Linked DNA regions of Cricetulus griseus. The protein of the gene in region 2 interacts with the protein of the main gene of each other region in a pairwise test. Links are inferred from orthologs where the notes say so. Each region holds a gene or a part of one and is shown on either strand. Other genes may lie near its edges.

Region 1 (3,820 bases), on a different chromosome or scaffold from region 2:
TGCTTTAAGACCAGTACACACTTGGCCAGGTGTTCTGATCCTGGAACAACTTCAAAATGTATGTACTGTGGATGGGTAAGGTGTCAATCATCTTCCAGGGGCACTTCTGGGAATGCAAGGATAATGCAGAACATTCTCCAACAGATGGGCTAGAGCAGAAAGAGCTATGTTGGTCTGCACCAGTCCCAGTCGGCCAGGACAGTTGGGGTAGAGTTGCTCATGGCTCCTCTCTGTCAGATGACAGAGATGAATCCACTGTGAATATCAAACCCAAGGCCAAGGGTTTCTGAACTCCAGGATGGGGTCTGGGGTTGAGGATGGCTTGGTACAAAGTACCAGCACAAACCAGGCTCTGTGTCCTCATTTATTATGAGTGCATAGTCCATGTCCCTCTGCCCACTCATCCAGAGTCCAGAGCCCAGGAAGTCTCTAGGCTATTCTGCCAGATCCTGGCGCTTACCAAGAGCAAAGTGCAAGACAGACTGACCAGTTCACGCAGAATGTTAGGGCTTCAGCTGCCCAAGTGTGTGCGCAGCCAAAGCACAGTATTCATGAAGCTGTCTGACTCCACCTCCACCTCTGATAGTGCGTGGGTGCTTTTGGGATAGAGCAGGAGCCTGTGTGAGCAGCAACACATGAGGTTGGTGGTTCTTGTCCTGCTTACCTGCCACAGCTACCAGGACTATCCTCTGACACTCACCGAACAGGCACATTCCGGGCCTTGAGGGCACGGTAATACTCCATACCCTGCCTGAATGGTACACGCCGGTCCTCCTGGCCCAGCATCAGTAACACAGGTGTCTTCACCTAGGTGTATGGGGAGCAAGTTGCTGTGGTGAGCTGAGCTCTGGATTCTGGATGGATGGGTAGCATACACACAAGGATACCTGGGTACCTGAGGGATATACTTGATGGGTGATTTATCTAGCATCTCCTCCCACAAATTCAGGTCTGGCAGGCAGTCATTGCTATAACGGAAGCCAGCCTCCACCACACACCTATAAAAGACCAAGATGATGCTTTCCATGGGAATTTGGGGTAGAAGGAAAGACAAAGGACCTGTGATGCACACTCACCAATCAGGGATGTCAGTGGAGCCCATCATGGAAGCAATATTGATTACAGGGTTCCGAGCTATACAGGCACTGTATGTCTCTGGGTACTGACCAATCAGGTGGCAGGAGAGGAACCCTCCATGGGAACCACCCATCAGGGCCACACGGTGTGCATCAAAGCCTTCCTCCTGGAGTACCTGCTCCACTGCAAACTAAAGGGTAAGAAGAGTGTGCTGCAGCTAGCTTCCTGTCAGCTGAACAGAGCCTCGAACCCACCTCCCTGTCCAGGACACTGTCCAGCACCCTGCTACCTGGACATCCTTCACATCCTGCTGGCCCACATTGCCTGGGAGAGAAAGGATGTTGTCTTGGCCAAAGCCAGTGGAGCCACGATAGTTCACTAAAAGGAGGAGACAAGATAGTATTCTCAGCCCTCTGGACCTCAGTTCCTAGGACCAGCAGCATCGCAGGCTGTCAGGGGACCTAGTCAAGAGCTATGAAGTTGCTACCCTTTCTTACCTAGCAACACTGCAAAGCCCATCTTGCAAAGCATGGCTGGGAACAGCATCCAGGCAGTGACAAAGGATGAATGGGGTCCCCCTGTGACAGGAAGAAGAGGGTGAACAGGCCAGCTAGCAGCTTCATAGGAAAGCAAGCACTCTTAGGTAGACACCTACCGTGGGGCATGACTACCATGGGCACCTGGGTCTTATCTGGAGGGTTGCTGGGCTGTAGAAGGATTGCTTCAAAGTCAAGGTCAGCTGTAGGGAGAAGGCAGTAATCAGCAAGACCAGTGCTCCTTCACAAGTGCTCCCAGCCAAGGCCCCATCTGTAGCTATGGCGTGAGTCTGATCAAGACAAACAGGCCTGGCCATGGTAGCTCACACCATGACACATGGACCCCGAAGGCTTGTGCTCTTTTTGCCTAGTCAGAGAGCCTAATGTCTGAAAAGAGCACATTCTGATATAGTCACATAAGCCTGTGTGTGGCCTATTTTCTCTGGGCCTTAGTTTTCTCACCACAGAGGACATGCCCTGGCAGGGCCTGGTGCTGATAACCACAGCAGGTACTCGGATTTCTGGATGCTACTCCCCATGACCATAAGAACAGAAAAAATTTTTGAGGAAATCCTAGAAAGCCTGAAATGTGAGCTTGGAAGGGTCATCACACACGCTGTGTGCTGGGGACCTGGAGAAGGCCTCCGTGTGCTGTCGGCCCAGCTCACCATATTGCACATTCTCTTGGTCTGGAGGTGGATGCAGCACACGGACGCCCCAGAGGATGTCAGGAATGGGTTCAGCCTCCTCCAGGGACACCCACGACACGGACTGTTCCTTCCCAGCAGGAGGCAGGAACCCAACTTTCTGCCAAGGGGAAGCAAAGTGTCACAGGTGGCCAGTGCTCAGGAACTCATCTCTAAAGGGCACAGCATAGATTCTTATGAGTGGTATATGACAATATACATCCACATATGAACCACTGCCTACCACTACCACATTTCTTGGCTTCTGGGTTCTTCTGTCTCCCTGTACTCTAATACTGTAGGACTTGGCACGTTGTTCAGGACAGCACAAATGCTAGTCCCTACTTACAAGTGTCAGCCATGGTAAACCATAGGACTAGGGTGGATCCAAGTCTCCGCCCTTCTACATGTTGACCAGCCATGGCCAGCTGTTGGCCTGGAAGCTTGTAACTCCTGCCTTCTAGCCTGGAACTCACCAATACTCACCAGGCTCGGGGGCAGGTTGGGTGTGGAGAACTGGGCCACCATAAGGTCTTGATCAATTGTAAGCAACTTCCAGCTTCCACCTGAACCCCCTAGAGGAAGCAGATGGTAGTGTTTGGTGGGGGGTCACCACTTTTGTACCTTCAACCCTCAGAGGCACCCCTTAAGAACACCTAACTGTATAGCCCTGGGTAAGCCTCCTGGTTCAGTCCCTTGTTTATCTGACAGACACTGGCTTGTGCTCAGGAACTGCCAGGCCTGGGGACACAGAAATCTACCAAGATACTCTACTTACTCCAATGACCAGTGTAAAAAGGATGGCAGCCTAGCCCAAAAAACAGGGTCAGGGAAAGGGGACTGGACAGTGGGGTCTAAGGTTTATTTATTCACTTATTTACTTATGTGCATTAAGCCTTATGTATGGTAGACAAACACGCTAGCAATGAGCTATGTCCCAACCCAGAGATACAGAATTAGAACAAAACTCTGGCATCTATGGAGCTTTGAATGAAAATGGTCCCCATAGGTTTACACGGAGTAGCACTATTAAGAGGTGTGGCCTTGTTGGAGGAAGTGTGTCACTGGGGGTGGGCTTTCAGGTTTCAGAAGCTCAAGCCAGGCCCAATGTTTCTCTTCCTGCTGCCTGCCAGTCCAGATGTAGAACTCTGGGCTCGTTCTCTGGCACCATGTCTGCCTGAGTGCTGCCTTGCTTCCCACCAGGACAATAATGGACTAAACCTCTGAAACTGTAAGTCAGCTCCAATTAAATGTTTTCTTATTATGAGTTGCCATGGTCATGGTGTCTGTTCACAGCAATGGAAACCCTAACTAAGACAGCATCTCTCTGGAGGAGTACGTAGAGACAGGGCAGGTGGACAACTCAAAGGCTGTTCCAGGGGAAGACAATAGGCTCAAGTGTGGGAAAGCTAGGGAATCAATCCAACAATGGTTTCTCCAAGGCTTGGGCGGGAGGTAGATGACTGACAGCTTAGCAAGAAAGGCCTGCAGATTTTGGGGTAGGGGTGGGGCTGTAGAGCC
Region 2 (3,344 bases):
CACACACACATCTAGAGCCTCTTGGGCTCTCCACAGATTGTCTGTCTCCCCCCCTCCCCCAAAGCTTGAGTTTTTCAATAGTTGTCAGATGGATTTCCATGAAAGGAAGGAAGGACTAGCAGTTGCACTTCCTAAAAAGTAAGAAATGCTGACAGTATTATTTCCCACGTAAGTATACATCTGTCTGGGAAAATTGGCTGTGCCTACTCCCAAGCCCTGGCAGAATTCTGTCCTGTGGTTTAGTCATAAAATGACCTGATGAAATTAGCTCTTCTCCCTCCCCGTACTATATCTGTAACAAAATCGGACTTTACCTGGGGCTTCTCCCAGCTCCAGTCAAACAACAGAAGTTACGGGAGTGTGGCAGTTGAATTTGCTGATGCAAGTTTACTTAGCAGACAGAGCAGTGTCTGACCTCACTGCTGATGGAGACAGACATGTCTTCAGACCCAGAGGGGCAAGCACTGGTTTACACTCCAACTCAACATTACCCTCCTGTGTAATTCACATTCACTGAGTCTCATTTTGATGTCAGTTACCCAAAAAGGTTTAACAAACTGCATTTATCCATTCCCTACCACACTTTGCCACAGGCACACACAGACTTGAGTGCCAATAAGCAGAAATCTGCTTGGAGCAGAACACTTGTTCTAATTCAGTTTTTTTTTTTTTTTTTTTTTTTGCCTCAATTTTTCTGCCATGTTCAGCATATTAATTATTTTATAAAGCTTAAAGCAATGACGACTAAATAAGTGTTATACAGTCTTATAAGATATGATTGGATGCTGATTATGAAAAGGATTACTGGGGAAGTAATGTTTTCCATCCATTAGTATATTTTTCTGACCTTAACTACAAATGCCCCCTAATGGGGTTAATGCAATGTCAGCAGAAAGACCCTACTGTAAAATCATGGATGCCTGAGTGCCAGAAAACAGGGACCACACTGGTTCTGGGCACCTCTGTGTCTATGCACAGCTCAGAGAATATACACAAGAAATATGCCTTCTATCCCTATTAACTGGTATATTAGAATAGGCACTTAAACATTTGTTGAGTGTGGTTTTACAAGACGGGACCCCATGTGCAGAGCCTCACCAGCAGTAAGCTGGGATTGCCCCAGATTTGTTCCTCTGAACATAGAGGTAGCCACACTGCATGGCCAGGCCTGAGAATACCAGATAAAACTTGATGTTGTATGAGCTCAACTTAACAACATAAACAATGTGGTGAAAGCCAGATGCATTTGACATGGCCAGTATCACATAAGCCGTTTTGTATTTTAGGGTTTTGACAATCATGGTAGCTACCAGCTCCTTACATCCAGCAAACGGATATCACCATCAACAGATAATGTGTCAATACTGCTTAGCTCTTTAAATCTGTGTTTGTACTCCAGGCTATGCACACCATTTACTGCAACCTTGAATTCTCGGACATCACAGTAAATTATCATCTGAAAAGAAAGGAGATATACCATCAGTAGCTGCCCTTTGTTTGAAATTTTATGCTTTTTTTATACTAACAGACAGTCAAAAGGAAAACCATTTGGCTTGCTTTGAGCTTGGAGATGTTTCCCCAGCCTTCTACCATTGACTCCCCTTCTGAGTGACTTCACAGGCAAGGCAACCCAAATCCCCAATGTACCATGTGGCATCTCCTTCACCCACTATGTCTCACCAGATCCTTCCTTTAGGAGCCCCCCCCCCCCAATCCCCACCACCACCACCACATTCTGCTCCTGGCTTTTAGAAGGCTGTAAAGTGTCTCTCCATGTGGTATTTGGGAATTAACAGAAAACTGCTGATCACTGCCCCCCACCTATTCCCTGAGAAACTGAGTGTAACTATCCTGCCTCGATGCTAGGGTCTTGGCCATGTCAACTGATGACATTCCAACAGCTTGGGACACTTGGTAAGGAGAGCAATTACTCAGTAATCCTAAGTCTGTCCTCAATCAGAACATAATGGCCTCTCTACCTGTTTCCAAAAAGCTTGTCAGGGTCATGTTCCCAGGCTCTGCAGCTATTGGCATTTTGGCAGATGCATACCTATTGCCCACCCTTCAGATTGTTTTCCTAACAGTAAACCTAACATCCAAAGCCAGTATCCTGTTACACTGCCTGAACACCTAACCCTGTGCTTCACTGCCACATTCTTAAGGTCAGTAGGCTCACTGACTGTACCAAGTGGCCACTCACTGAAAAGGCCAGTTTGGTGTCCCTGCACTGTGCTCCTTGCCACAGTGAAGCCTTTAGAAGTCAGCACAGCTAAGACTAGAGTATCAAACTTAAATCTGCAAAGACCCTTGTTATGGTTCTATTCTTTAGATGGTAGCAATGGGAAAAGCTACCATAGGAAGTCAGGACAAGGGACAAATGAGCACATAGCATAACTGACTAGACCGAAGTAGTGCTACACAGGGAACTGGGGAATTACCTACTACTTGAGCTATCTCCCCAAGAATGGGGGAAATCCCAAGTTCAACTAGCTGGAAGGGATATTGGGTGACATATATTTAAGAAATCTCGGATCATAATTCAATCTCCTATTGTATAGCTCAACAGAAAAGGGGTGGAGATGTAGGGCAAGAAGCCGGATGCAATCCTAGCAAGTTCCCCCTGTTGTAACAAATAAATGTAAAATCAACAAGTGGAAACACTGCAGCAAAACGCGCACAGGAAGAAGGCATGTGACCTGCAGAGTATTCTCCTAGAAGAGGAAATGAAACAGCAGACACCACCCCCCACCCCCAACCCCCCCCCCCCCCCCCCCCACCACCCCCCACCCCAGTGACCTCAGAACAGCTGGGAAAACACAATTTTCTGACTCAAATTCTGTCTGCTCTGGACTCAGGCCTTCAGAGCTGCAGGTAGCCAGGCCTAACAGCATCCAGTATGGTGAAGTTGATGCTCGGTGAGCTCCACTTGATGCAGTGACACAGCCAGTGTCACAAGCTATTTTGTATTTGAACAGCTTATCAATGCAATCCAATATTGGATGAGATTTTTAAGACAGAGCTGGGGTGGTAGTTTAGTGACTCGGTGTGCTGGCCTGTGAGGCCCAGCATGACTATTTTTTTTAAAAGAGTGGGGCTGGAGAGATGGCTCAGTGGGTAAGTGCACTTGCTGTTCAAGCGAGTGTGAGGACTTGAGGTTGGATCCTAAGACCCAAGTAAAATGCTGGGCCACCCAAGCACCTGTAACCTATCGGGGGTGGGGGGGGGGTGCTTACAGGATCACCGGGGCTTGCTGGCTGCTAACTTAGCTCCAGGCTCAGTGAGAAACCCTGTCTCAAAGACTAAAGCATTGAATGGTAGAGCAGGCCTGTACACACAAATGGCAC

What was found.
Region 1: the proteins of Lgals8 (region 2) and Apeh interact in binary tests that used the Homo sapiens proteins (3 or more experiments, as listed by UniProt). The two-hybrid records come from large-scale screens. The link is inferred for Cricetulus griseus from reciprocal best matches to the Homo sapiens genes LGALS8 and APEH.

Annotation. Positions count from the first base shown.
Region 1 is NC_048597.1:216,278,532-216,282,351, forward strand, and holds the end of Apeh (acylamino-acid-releasing enzyme), read right to left. Parts: intron 2,875-3,820; coding exon 2,786-2,874; intron 2,421-2,785; coding exon 2,282-2,420; intron 1,817-2,281; coding exon 1,733-1,816; intron 1,656-1,732; coding exon 1,575-1,655; intron 1,456-1,574; coding exon 1,367-1,455; intron 1,268-1,366; coding exon 1,077-1,267; intron 999-1,076; coding exon 896-998; intron 808-895; coding exon 701-807; intron 618-700; coding exon 512-617; 3' UTR 351-511; downstream 1-350. UniProt on the Homo sapiens protein: This enzyme catalyzes the hydrolysis of the N-terminal peptide bond of an N-acetylated peptide to generate an N-acetylated amino acid and a peptide with a free N-terminus. It preferentially cleaves off Ac-Ala, Ac-Met and Ac-Ser.
Region 2 is NC_048596.1:236,452,388-236,455,731, forward strand, and holds the end of Lgals8 (galectin-8), read right to left. Parts: intron 1,457-3,344; coding exon 1,307-1,456; 3' UTR 652-1,306; downstream 1-651.